Lytechinus pictus: one gene and its partner. The main gene of each other region encodes a partner of the protein of the gene in region 2 in a complex. Links are inferred from orthologs where the notes say so. Each region holds a gene or a part of one and is shown on either strand. Other genes may lie near its edges.

Evidence for each region.
Region 1: protein lin-54 homolog (region 2) and protein lin-52 homolog share a complex: the UniProt entries of both Homo sapiens proteins name them as parts of the DREAM complex. The link is inferred for Lytechinus pictus from reciprocal best matches to the Homo sapiens genes LIN54 and LIN52.

What each region holds. Positions count from the first base shown.
Region 1 is NC_087251.1:29,398,600-29,405,616, reverse strand, and holds the start of protein lin-52 homolog, read left to right. Parts: upstream 1-3,966; 5' UTR 3,967-3,997; coding exon of another isoform or gene 3,998-4,028; coding exon 4,029-4,053; coding exon of another isoform or gene 4,054-4,081; exon of another isoform or gene 4,082-4,096; intron 4,097-4,253; coding exon of another isoform or gene 4,254-4,352; exon of another isoform or gene 4,353-4,537; intron 4,538-7,017. Other genes in the region: probable sodium-coupled neutral amino acid transporter 6, read right to left, coding at 149-290, 1,114-1,195, 2,079-2,118, 2,306-2,432, 3,175-3,320, 3,763-3,915, 4,254-4,352.
Region 2 is NC_087262.1:10,333,894-10,341,597, reverse strand, and holds the start of protein lin-54 homolog, read right to left. Parts: upstream 3,024-7,704; 5' UTR 2,911-3,023; intron 1-2,910. Other genes in the region: COP9 signalosome complex subunit 4-like, read left to right, coding at 3,232-3,305, 7,115-7,194. UniProt on the Homo sapiens protein: Component of the DREAM complex, a multiprotein complex that can both act as a transcription activator or repressor depending on the context. In G0 phase, the complex binds to more than 800 promoters and is required for repression of E2F target genes.

The DNA of each region.
Region 1 (7,017 bases), on a different chromosome or scaffold from region 2:
ACCGCCATCATCACCATCATCATCATCATCACCATCATCACCATCATCATCATCATCATCATCATCATCATCATCATCATCATCATCACGAGCATCATCACCACCATCACCACCATCATCATCACCATCATCATCATCATCAACTCACCCCCACTGTGAAGAAGACCATACATAGAATGGAGAAGGCACTGGTGTAACCAAGGAAACCGATCTTTGGCAGGCAAGCCAGGGGGAGGATGACCAATAACACAAGGAGTAGGACCAAATAGTCACCATTTACATACCATTCACTGCATTGAATTAGGAGTGTAATAGAGTACTGAAGTGTGACATGATGAAAATACAAATTTTGCATTTCATTGTTTCTCATGTCATATCTTGGAGGTGCATGACAGCTAAAATTTGCTAGGAATTGGTTCAACGGGGCCCAAGATATGACCACATCAGGGGCCGCGGAAACGGGGGGCCTCGAGGCCCCGCACTTTTTTCCAAAACGTGTACAAAAACGTAAAAATTACCATCTGATTATGTTTTTTTGCATAGTCAACCCCCCCCCCCCCCTCTTTAAAAACCGTTCCGCAGTCCCTGCACATGAATACTGAATTAGCCCTATTGAAGTCAATGTATTATTGGCCTGGTTCTAAATAATTAACTTTGAACTTGATTATGTGACTTGAAATTAATACAAATGATGAGTGATGTCCAAGTTTTATGAAATATAAATAATTTGATTTCTATGTTATGATGAAATTTCAAATTTTAACCTTGGTTAAGATTTTGATGATGATCTCTGTAGCCGCAGGCAAAACAATTAATTTCATATAAACATAAAGTTCATTTAATGAATACATGCATATTCTATATTCAAGTAAGAAGGCATTTTGATTTTGTTGTACATGCACTGCATGAAAAATCTGCATGTTATGCTTTTGCCAGTGAAAATTTTTGATTTCCGGGTGAGGGGTGCATATTTTCAATGCTATTAGTACATCAATGTTCATAATAACCTGCCTCAGAGGCAATTTGACATTATGAAAATTGAGATTGATCAAAAATATGATGAAAATAACAATTACAACTTTAAAATTTATGAATACTTGACAAGACACTTACTTTGCAGTCTGGTCTTCATGTAGGAACGTCTTGAGAACTGCTGGCATCTCATTCTTTACAATAAATAGATAACTTGACATAGCTGGGAGGATAGACAAAATAACATTACTAAGTAAAATTTAATATAAAATATTGTACTTTCAAGTTCTAATCAAATGACTGATAGTGATGACATAAGTAATCACAGAATTTGTGACATTGGTCATTATATTTTTATCACAAAATATCTTGATAGTTTACTTCTAAATACAAACTATTCTTATTTCAAAGGCATTTGGCAAACATTATTCAATCAATATTTTCTGTCAATATGTATGCAGACAATACACTAAAAAATGTTGATAATCTTTTGTTTCCCTTTTTAAAGTTATAGAATTTCAAGAAACACTGAAATATACCATTCCTTTTAAATTGGAATCTAGCCCATCAATACTAGCATTCAAATGAAGGATAAAAATATATTATAAGCCCCTACCATCATCAGTATTGAACTCAATTCTTTTTACCAGGTTAATTGCTTTTAAGGTATTTGTCTTAGTGATTTATTTATTAGTCCACTTTCCTAAATACCCATTTATTCATGAGCTAAGTTTGAAATTGACCCGTAAAATCATATGGTTTTCTTGAGGATGAAAAGGTGGAAGGACAGATGACCCTAAAACATAATGCCTCCAGCAAACCACCTTGAGGTTTATCTTAATTACATCGGAGTAAATCATATTACAAAGAGGAAAGTTAATTGTAATAGACTCATCACTCATCATTAATAATGGAGTAAATCACCCCTAATTAATATTACTACTGATATGATGATGATTATGATGATAATAATAATAGTAATAATACTACTACTAATAATAATAATATTAATAATGATGATGAAGATAATAATAATAATAATTATAATTATAAAAATAATAATAATAATAATAATACAAGAACTAAATATTAGATCCTCTACTCACCACCAACATTTTGAAGGAGTATAGCAGAAGCTGCCATTAGCTATAACAAAATCGACAAAAATTCTCATTGAATTTATTTTAATACAGTTTCATAAATAGGGAAGGAAATGAGACAGATAGTCAGAAAATAAAAGGAGGGGTTTTATCAAGAGAGTGCACTAAACTAAGACATGACACTAAAATATGAACATAACATTTACTCAAATAGTAAGGGACTAAAAGCTTACCTTGCCTGGGACACCCATTGCACTGTTCCCTATATCTTCATATGACCTATGACCTGTGATGTCACACATCTTCAGAAGGAGGTGGATTGTGTAGTTTGCCATGACAGCGACAAGCAACAGCATCACACTATGGAAAAGGACAATAATAATCATTAAAAATACTTGGTCTATCTTCATCCCCTGATAAATTTCATTGTCTTGAATGTAAATTAAGATACACTTCATAACCTGCCATATTATCATAATGAATATTTTGATCATCATAAATGCCATCATCATTATCATCATCAATGTCATGATCAACATTATTATTCAATTTAACATTTCAAAGTATAAATCCAATTTACAAGAACATATATAACAAATAATTACAATTGACAAATAACACATGCATCTGCATATTTCTGAGAGGCATTTATCATTTTATGGGTGTTCATCCCACCGCTGCCACCATAATTGATGCTGAAAGAGGTAATTCCTAGTGTAACCTAATATTATACTAACAATCAGGTTCAATGGCCATTTGGTCCAATCACTCCAATTGCCACTTGGTCTAATTCCCACTTGGGCTAATTGTCATTGAGAAAGAGATATCAAATGGTGTTAGTAACACTTCATCTGATGACCAAGGTCATTTTCAAAAAGTTACATTTTGCCTGATCTTACACGTTCACATATACAACTTGATTATCAATTATATTTTCATGAAGAACTTGAAATCAGGATTGACTCCCTCTGTATAATTAGAAAAAAATAATATCATATTTCACGCTTTGCACTTCCCTTTTTTTCCCTTTTTTTTTTGCTTGGTGGTGAAACTTGGCCCCCATAGCTTCAAACTTTCATGAAATGGATCAAATGTGTAATACCTGAAGAGGATAATACCAGATTGTGCCATTGCATAGGGTAAGCCCAAGATCCCACTCCCTAATATAGCGTTCATCAAATTGAAAACTGATAGTCCAAAAGATGTCTTCCCTGATGTAAAAGGTTCCACTCTTTCCGTCATTGCCTCCTGTAGAAAAAAAGATTACCAATAAACTTTTTAAAGAGAGATAGAAGGGAAGGTAGCACGTACGGGATGGCAAGTGTCTATATTAGTGACTAGCAAGGATGGGCCAGGATGTAAAAGCGTTATTAGATCTATTCATTTATTTATTTATTGCAAATGTTTATCGAGAGTAGCCTGTTAATTCAGGCCCTTGATACAAAAATATACACAAATATAACCACTCATAAAAAATTACTCTGCATTATTATCTTCATACATAAAAAACACAAACATGAAGAAAACAAAAACATTTCATTATAAACTTAGTAGTACGATCATGCATGATGACGATTGATGAATTGTTTGGATTGATGACTACGGTAGTCACACAAAGGGACTAGTACTAGTAGTACATCAATTTTCATGTTTTGTGTTGCAACTTGCATGTTGTTGTTACTTGACTTGCCTGCTGCACAGAAGCTGAAGGTAATAAAGGTGTATCATCCATAATACCATGGTATACTATGTTGTTTGATTGTTCATCTGCATCTTCTACACAGCTCCCGCCTAAGCGATGACATTTTGGCTCCATTTCTTTTCTACTAAAAAGCCTAAAATGCTAAATTAAAGGTATACTATTAACTGCACAGCACTTAACTTTATTCATTCATTCAATATCAACGAAAATATAAACATTGTACCTGAAATGAACGGTAGAGGGCTCTTGTGAAAATGGCGTCACCAGCCGGCAGTGCGGGTAAATTTAATTTTTTTCTTCTTACCATTGTTCTAACTTTCAGGGTGTAATGTTGGGTTAATTTTTTACTTGAGTATAATATGAAGGTAATTGGAATTATCTTAAAATAAAATGTGTATATTGTCATCTTAAAAGTACAGTCTTTTGACATTGTGGTGTTGTTGCGATTGCCGTGATCGTGAGTGTGTGTGAATGAATACCGTAAGCTTTTCTGCAGACCACCACGCTCCGCTCCGGTGACTGTTCGGCGAGCTCCTGCCTTTAAAGTTACCCTGGCTGTACCAGCAGCTTGCTTTCATGATATTTGGTGGAAATGCACTTTCGTATCCATATGCATACAGAATGGCCAGTAAAACCAGGGTGACCAGATTTCACAAATGAAATACGGGACAATCGACAAAGCACAATGCACGAGCGGATCGACTGAGCCATGCAGTCCTTGTCTTGATTTTAATTTTTTTTTTAAATGAACAAAGTCAAACTCAAAGAAGGGCTAGAGCCTAGGCCACTCATTGGGCTAGGCTAAGTAAGTTAGCTCTAGCCGACTTTAGTTTTGAGTTAAAATTGTAACAAATTTAAAAAAAAGGAAGGGAGGGTAAATGAAAAAATGAAGGAGAGAAAGAAAAGAGATGAATTGAGAAATGAGAGGAAAAAAATGAAGGGGAAAAAAAGATAACCGAATAAAAGAAGGTTGAAACGGCAAGACTTCCATATGTCCCCTCCACTAAAATTGAAAAAGAAAAAAATATGGAGAAGGTTTATCAAGAATTATCTAACATGTATCTAAGAGATTTAAGAAGGAAAAGTTGGATACATACCAAAATATGGCTTTATTCCGTCAAAATTTCGAGCGTGTGTAATTCCCAATGGCATCGGTTTATTTAGTCAGAAAAATAAATGCCCAGCCCAATACTCTTGGAGAGTAGACTAGTCGTAATATCAGTTGATATGAAATTCATACATCACAGAAAATGCCTCTTCTTTATTTGTTGACTAAATTTCAAAATGTTTCTTCTCTGTCATTTCAAGTATGATGATATATATGATTTTCTGTTGACCGATTTTGATTTTTTTTCTTCAATCTGGTAGAGCTGCATGAGGTTCACCAAACTTGTACACAAAATTTTGAAATTTTGTCTAGAAAATTATTTATGCTAATTTATGCAAAATTTATTCATAAACACAAAAAATGTTTTTTCTTCTTCATTTGTTGATCAATTTCAATTTTTTTTGCTTTATATGATAGCTCAAGGTGGTGATTCAAAATTTCAACACAGAATTTTGAAACTCATTCAATATGCTAATTTATTCATATATTTTCAAAACTCACAAAAAATACTTATTTATTTGTTGATTGATTTTGATTATTTTTGTTCCATCTGAGAGCTACATGAGGTTCACCAAGGTACTACACAGAGTTCAGAAATTTTGACGAGAAAATTATTTTTGCTTAATTTATATGAAATTTATTCATAGATTGCAAAAAATGCTTCTATGCCATTTCTTCATCAATTTCAATTCTATATCCTCAATTTACCGTATGTCACCAATATAATTCACTAAAGTGTCAACTGGGCTGAAATTAAAATTGTGTTAAATTTCGCTGCGAGATGCAGGATGAGCTCCACATCATTGATGTGCTAGTATACAGTCACTGACGGTAAATGGATTTGTGGCCTTTTTCAAGAGTTATCTTCAAATGCCAGCTTTTAAATAAATCAATGATTTTAATTGGAACAAATTACGAAAACTGTATGCATATATTGTTTATGTCAAACACACATATCAACCTATTGATGAAATCTTAGTTTCAGGCAGAATTACTATATAAACATAAAATCAATACCCCAAAACATACATCATTACAATACACAGGAGTGATGATTGCCAGGAAGATTATGGCAAATGGCAGTGATGAAATAGTTTACAGTCAGACCGCAGGTCCCTATGCTAATGAGCAAAAAGGCCAGATTCATCCAAATCATCTCGTGGCTGAATCCTCCTCCTTGCAAAATCTTGTGATTCGTGAGATTTTCTTTCTCTAAGAATTTACCTGTTTTAACCTCAAGTTAAATGAAATATTATTGCACCATCAGATAGAGTAAAAGTTACTCTTTCATATTGGTCATTTATTTTGTATACAATATTTTGTTAAATAAGTAAATTTCTGGCCTGAAAATGTGCCTCAAAACTGAATTTTCTTCCTCTGTTTTCTTTTGCAAATTGCGCAAAACTTTTTATTTTGAGCCTCTATGATATTTATATCAACATAAAGCTGAACTTCTGTACTTTCTCACAATGCCACTTTTGATATGCAGCACCTTTTAATCGGGTCAAGATCACACTTTTCCCACCAAGGTACAAGACGAGATTTCAGAAATTTTGTACTTGCATGAAATCCAGAGTTCCGATTGGCTGGATAAGAGTCACAGAACAACAGGCGCAGGGTATTTGAGGAGATTACCACATGGGAAGTGTGACCTTCCCACGAACCCAGGCACTGGAACCGTTGGAATTTGCCAGTGTGCGGTCTCTTTGACCAATCAGAATGCAGTATTCTTGTTTTCAAGCTGCTTTATGTACTTGGCAAATGAAAAGTGTGGTCTTGACCCGATTAAACCAATTCTTATTTTGAAGCCTATATCATTTCAAAGCATACATATTCAGCTTTATCGTGATATAAAAATCATTTGGGCTCAAACAAAAATAAAGTGTGAAAATAGCAGCTTTTGTCAGGTGAAAATATTTATTTTGTAGCATATTATTTTAGATCAAAATTTTAACCTATATTACAAAATCTTTGAATAAATCCAAACACATGACCTGAAAAAATGATTCTTCTTCTTTACAATGGTACCAAATTCATGAAATTCGATGCACAATTAGAGCAGCAATGACCGAATGAAAAGAGGTGTTTTGGTCCGCATCAAGCTCATTAAATATGCAAAACATCTCAAGTCATGA
Region 2 (7,704 bases):
ATTTTGATGAAATTTTCAGTGTTATGCTAGTTTGATTTTTCTCTATTTATTCAAATCAACATTTTTCTGGGGTGGACTTGACCTTTAAATCACTTCCATTGAAACATGTACAAATGATTGACAATATTTTTATTTGTGGCAGTTTTACTTTTTTTTTACTAAAAATAGAAAGATTTTATCAACTTTATAATCATCAAAACATTCTTCTTCATAAGCGGTTTAAAGCCCCCTACTCCACTTTCACTATGATTTTAAAAAAAAAATCATTGATTTAAATCACTTCCATTCAAACATGTACAAATGATTGACAATATTTTTATTTGTGGCAGTTTTATTTTTTTCTCCTCAAAATAGAAAGATTTTATCAACTATATATCATCAAAACATTCTCCTTCATAAGCGGTTTAAAGCCCCCTGCTCCACTTTCACTATGATTTTTTAAAAAAATCGTTGATTTAAATCACTTCCATTAAAACATGTACAAATGATTGACAATTTTTTTATTTGTGGCAGTTTTACTTTTTTTTACTCAAAATAGAAATTTTTTATCAACAATATATCATCAAAACATGAATAAATCCTTTATCGCAGTTACCACTTAGCCCCCTACTCCACTTTCACTATGATTTTTTTGTTAAATCATTGATTTAAATCACTTCCATTGAAACATGTACAAGTACAATGTACAACTCCTGGTTTATTGTACTAAAAGAAATAATTCAAATAAACCTGCAACTTTTCCCAATAAGACACAGCTTTGCAAATCAATGATTTAAACAATAACAAAGCTCCAACCATGGCTCAAATACCAAAGGAGGTTTAAATTTGTTTTTTAAATGGAGTTTTTTTTATTAAACACATGATTTTCAGTCCTTAGTTTGAAAATCAAGAATGTTTCTCTTTCAAGAATATGAGTCTCTGAGTCATGGAATTCTTCCAAAGAAACTGATCCTCATTTCATATTTGAATAGGAACACTAACTTATTAGCTGTACCAAGGCAGTTCCTCAACTTGACCAAACCAGTCAGTAGGAGCTAAATACCCGACACGAGAGGATGCGGAAACAGCATCTTCGTCATGACTTTATACAGACCTGCATACATGTATTCTTTATAAATTACATTTTGGCTGGATTTAATTATGAAATAGAAAAGTTAATAATAATTTTAGTTGTGAAATGTATGATTTTTAAAAAGATTTCAGTGTAAGGGTTATATTTTTGGTATTTCCACTTTGTTTTAGAAAATAGTCAAAAAAAAAAAAATCTGATTTGAATAAAAAAAAATTGATTTAAATCAAATAAATCCTATCAATTTATTTTTTTTTTATAAAAAAAATCGCCAACCCTGACAAAATAGATCTAATGACAAACGTTACATGTACATATGATTTTTATTTGATTCAATGGACAATGATGTTTTGGTCCAATTAAATTTAGATCTATGCTTAACTTAATATAAGTGTCCAATATTTGGGTACTTAGTTTTACTCTAAATTATCTAAATTTCTAATTCATTTTTTTTCATAGGAAACTCATACCAAAAAATCTAGGAATTCATACATGCATACGTACTGTAGACCAAAACTTTGGTCTCTGTTATGTTGGTTGTTCCGCTGAACTCTGTAGGCTCCACTCACCAATTACAGAGACCAAAGTTCTAACTCGATCTGTACAGGGACTCAATGGCCATATGTTTATGTATTAAGTTTGGAAAAACCAGGGAAGCTCGAAGTGGCAGTTGCGCGACAGCCGAAGCTTGCGAAGTAGACTATCAAAGTCACTGTTTTTTTCCTTTTGAGTAAGTTTTTTCCCCGTTTTGGTGCATTTCAGGCCAAAACGGAATACTAATCTTTATTTTGGTCCATGAGCCCGTCAGGGGTTTTTGCATTGTTATTTATGTTAACCCCCTAATAATGGCGGCTGCACAATCGCTACCGTCTATTAATCATGGTGACGTGTGTAGAATTAAAACAAAATTTAAAATGTTTAAAAAAGTACTTCTCGAAACAGACGGCTACCAGCTGTCTAACTAGACTAAAACTTAAAAAAAAAGCTTCGGTCTCTGTTACATTTACATGTATGTTGGTTGGTTGGCTCCACTCACCAAATACAGAGACCGAAGTTCTAGCTCGATCTGTACAGAGGACTCGATGGCCATACACTTTATGTTTATGTCTTAAGTTCGGATAAAACAGGGATGTGAAGTTGCGTGACAGCCAAAGTAAGTCACTGTTTTTTTATTTTTCCCCAGTTTTAAGTTTATTTTTCCCCGTTTAGGTGCACTTCAGGCCAAAACGGAATACTAATCTTTATTTAGGTCCAGTTCTTTTTGTATATTTTTAAGAAATAAAGACAAAAATCCATGAGCCCTATCGGGAGGAGTTTGCATTGTTATTTATGTTTACCCTCTAAAGGCTCTATGGCGGCTGCACAATCACGAGCCGTCTTGTGACGTGTGTACGAGGAGAATTAAACAAAATTTAAAATGTTAAAAAAAACTTCTCGAAACAGACGGTTGCCAGCTGTCTAACAACATACATGAAGCATTGTCCTCCATGGTAGACTACAGCATGGAGAGTCTGTGTCCAACAATACACTGGCCAGGCCATGTTTAACCCATGCAGAGGCCGTCAACTACCAGGCAAGACACACTCACTGCCCCGACAAGCACGGCCAAAATTGTCCTCGCGATCGAGTGGGGTCACGGCTTCGATCACAGCGAAGCTCTCCACCCAAGCACCTTTTACGTGGCGAATTGATTTAGTGATGCAGCAATTTTATATCACAGGGCCGTAATAAAACTGCAAATAAACTGATTCATAATAGACCAATCGCTTTGGAACTTTAAAGTACATTTAACCATTTCCATACATGTAATATCAATGAGCTGATGATAAAAAATATCTTACGGTTAATGAGAAAATCCTACTTTAATCGAGGACATCGTTACCATCCATTTGTTCAAAATCACGCGCCGATCAATGGTCTTCTCTCCATTCGGCCTATTGTAATTGTACACTTCGTATTTCGCATACGTTTTTACCACACAACCTCGCATAATAAATAAATATTAAAAAGTGTTATCTAAGAATAAAGTTAGGCACAAATTTGATATAAATAAAATATTTTGCTTTAAAAATGTATTTTATTATTGGCAGAAAACTTTTCTTTATAAGTGTAATTTATCATCACATTATTACATTCTCACAAATTGATCAGTCTCGCTCAACATGGCAGCTTCCATGAAACAACAATTATCGACTCTCTTGAGCGCTGGTGGGGCTCCAAAAGACCTAACAGAAAAGTAAATATCATTTAAGAGTATTCAAAATAGTTTTCAATGTTTGATTTGTCTTCTTTAATAGGAAATTGTTATTTTATGAGTATAATTGATCCCTCCTTTCATCATAGAAGATCGTGGGATTAACATTTTTGTTGTATGCATATACTGTAGTGTAGTCCCACGCATTATATCTTTTGTCAGTATGAGGATACCCATTGCCCATTGGCTCCTCGATCCTCTCATTCACACTTGTTCACTGCAGCCAGGGTGACCAGATTTCACAAAATGAAATACGGGAAAATTGACAAAAAAGATCAACAAAGAAGGCTACACAGTATTCGACTTGTGAAAAAATATAATTAAAGAATTGGAAGGGTGGGTGAACGAAGAATGAAGAAGAGAAAGAAAAGACGAAAGAAAAGAGATAAATTGAGAATAAAGAAAGAAAAAATGAAGGGAAACAAATATAAAAGAATGAAAGAAAGTTAGAATTAAAGAATAATACTTTTAATAGAGAGAAAAAAGGTTTCCGTCATTCTTTGAATTGAATATAGAAAGAAAAGAAAGGAAGGGAAGATGAATAAATGTGTGAAAGACAAAATAAAGGAGAGAGAGAAGAAAAGAATGAAGGAAATAATAATGTTTCCTTTGAAAGAAAGAAACAAAGAAAGAAGAAAAACAGGAAGGGAGGAAGGAGGGTAGGAAGGGAAATAAAGAATAAGGGAAAGAATTAGAAGGAAAGATAAAACAAACAAAGAAAGAAAGAAAGGGAGGAGAGAATGGAAAAAAGAAAATAATGGAAGGAGAGAAAGAACGGAAAGAAAAAGGAGAGGAAAGGAGAAGGAAGCAAATAAAGAAAAGTTTAAGGAAAGAAAGAATGAAGGAAATAAAAATGGAAATTGAATAAAGAAGGAAAGAAAAATGAACAGAGAGAGAGAAAGGATCAGGAAAGAAAGATCGGAAATAAAGATAGATCGAACAAAAAAGGGCAAGCAGGATGGATAGAAGGATGAAAGAAGGATAGAAAAGAAAGAGGAAAAAAGTTCAAACTTCAAGCAAACAAAAACAATCCAATCTATCGAAAATCATAATGATATTTGGTGTTTTTTTTTAAACTTAAATGTTTTAGAAATGAATAAAATTTCAAAGTGAAATATTGTCAACTTAAAATTAGATGAAACGTGGCATCATACATAACAAGACTCAAAACGAAAGCTGAAACACCTAGATCTAGCTATGAAAACTCAATAACTTGTTCCTCCGATTACATCTCCAAATCAGTAATCTGAGAATCCATAATGTAATTATACAAGTTCCCCACCGATTTTGTGTCGTTGTTTGCTCCATTGAGAATCTGCTGCGATCCTACTTGCCTAGCTAGTAGCCTGCCACACACAGGCAGGAGGCCAGTTCGTTTTCAATGTATATGGTTAGCAAGAAAATCACTGCAGAACTTTAAAGTTTAGTTATTGATTTGATTGTTGTCTCTGCTTCGTCATCTGTTGGTTATTTTATGAAAATTCGTCACTTTTAAATGTATTAACTACATTTTGTTCAATATTCTGAAATACGGGACAAATAGGCGTCCCAGGAAGGGTTTGTCAGGACGCCGGGACAAAGCAAATTACGGGATGATCCTGGGAAATATGGGACGTCTGGTCACCCTGACTGCAGCCCCTGCCTGTGGGGAATCTTCATGTAGATCTATGGTATGCCAATGCAGTACACAGCACACACTTTAAAATTTCATTAAAAATATCACTTTTGACTTTGGTCACCCAAAATACTAATTTCCATAGTAACAATACAAATTACAGTTGCAATTTATTTTTCATGATAAAGTAAAATAAAGGGACTAAAGACATTACTCATTGGACTAACTTGGAAATCATTTTTTCATTCACCAGAGCTCTCAAAACCTTGAATTTGGGGCATATTTTGTGTACACCCTCTATTGGTGCATGGTGGAAAGTAAAATTGCAAGAAAATTGTTCTATGCTAGTTTGATTTTTCTCTACTTATTCAAATCAACATTTTTCTGGGGTGGACTTGATCTTTAAGAGCCAAGTTATTGATTTTGATGAATAGTTGTATGGAAACTGACAGTGTCAAAAAATCTAAACATTTTTCCCCAAGAACATGAGAAAATAAGCCAAACATTTGCCAACCTTACTTCACCACACAGGAAATAGTTATAGAGAACAAGGTTCTATCATAACCTTGTTCATTGAATGAGTGCTCATTGTTGAATTTTCTACCGTCAAATTAGTGATTTTGAGACAGAATTTGAGATTATTGTTAGTACGGGAAGCTAAACAACATCAGCTGGGTATCAGCAGAGTAAGGTGACAATGACATGGCTGGGCTCGAGTCATGACAATATGAAATCATTTATTTCAAATGTCATGTATTCCTTGATAAGCTTGATATCTGTTTATAATTCAGGGTGAGGGTCACGATCGTCCCAATTAATTCAGGGTTCAAACCGGGGGGGGGGGGGGGGGGGGTGCACTCAGTATATAATGCGTTGTGGGTATGTGCTGCGGAGGGGACCCCCATTTTTACACTCAAATTTCCGTTCCAAGGCATAGCATTTTTATCTTATTGAGAAAAAGATCAAAGAAAGCCGCTCCAAAGCATAGCATTTTCTTCTTATCGAGAGAAAAGAAGAAAGAAATCCGCTCCAAAGCTTAGCATATTTTTCGTTACGGTGTTCTGGCTGCATTGATCCGCTACAATGTGCTGCAATTTTGGTGAAAAGCGGCCGCAGAGCGCTGTCCGTCCATCGCCTCTGCGCGAGCGCACCCGGCGTCCGTGCTGCCGGGCTAGCTGCATGCACGTATGCCCATTCCATAGGGATGCATTCGCACTCACATGCTGGCGACCCGTTCCAAGGACCCCGTTTTCACAAACATTTATAGTTCCGAAGCCTGTTCCGAGGACCCTCCTTTTTACAATAAGCCCGCTCTAAAGGTTTTTGTCTCGCCCGCGGCACATACCTACCACTTTTTTAGTCGAGTACCCCCCAGGGTTCAAAGGGTTAAGCACGGGTGTGGAGGGGGGGCAAGCCAGAAGTTTATTAAGAAACAGAAATATTGGGGGGGGGGAATCTACTGGAAATGATGAGTACTGCCCCTTTGACATGTCCGTTTACAACTTCCAGACATGGAGCCCTATGAACCTATTGATGGCTAATTTTGCTCACCCATTTTTTTTACGCCCTGCTTGAAAACTTGGACACCCAATTCTAAAATCCTGGCTAAAGCCCTGCTGGGCCTGATCCCTACCCAATACTTTTTCCTTCTAAATCTTAAGTTTTCTTTCATAAAATAATACTTCTACCAATGTTATAATATTGGTCAAATTTGTTAGCATGCCCAACCGCCATTAAATCCACCAGACCAAATAGATATTTAGTAAATTTTCTTGTTTTCATTGTCAAATTGTTACTACTAATTTGGACGGATTATAAGCTATTATTAAATTTCCAATGAAAATATGAATATTAACACTGGTCATCAAGATGGGATTCCAACCTATGCTAAGACATTGAAATGAAGAGAGGTTTGCCGGGCATATTTGCTAATATTACCAACATATTTGTCTATTTTATTGCAAGGTTCGATCGTAACGAAATTGATCTCGATATTTTGTAAGTATGACATCTTGAAATGTACTGCCATGTTTTATATTGTAGTTGTAGTTCGACAAATCACATCAGGTCATGTAAGTTACAATTGAATCCTTTAAATTTGATGACACATTATCATTGGTAATGATTCAATCAGATAATGATAATGAACATTTTCCTATATTTTTATCACGTGCAGATATCGTAAAATCCTAACCGATATTCTACAGCTTGGTGAAGATGACCTAGTAAACGGACTGCAGTTCTTCATTGAAACAAGTACGTAGATTCCTATTTCTAATTAAAAAAAAAAATTTAAGGGAAAATTCTGTTGGGAGGAGGTATTGGAATAATAAGTATGAGCTTTCAAGAACTACCTCGTGTTATTTAACCCTTAACGTGCTATGAACACATATCTGTGCATCCACTGGAGTGCCACAAACACATTTTCGTGCAATGGTCATACAGCTATTGTTATGCCTATTGCATTTTGAGGAGTGCATTGCATGCATGAGTGATTCCATTGTTCAGTTTAGCTTATGGTCAAGAGGTTTAACATAATTGTCTCATGAGTGATTCTCTTTTTTATAAATAAAACATTTAAATATAGACTCTGAAAAAAAAGTGGCACTCGCTGATTACAGTGAATGGCACATTAAGATTAAGAGTTAAAAAGGATATAAGAGTAAAAAGGTCCACTGCAGAGGATTGCGTTTCAGTTGCCCTCACATTTAAAGTGGATGCATTCAATCAGACCAAATTTTGCAACACATATCATTTTAGCCCATT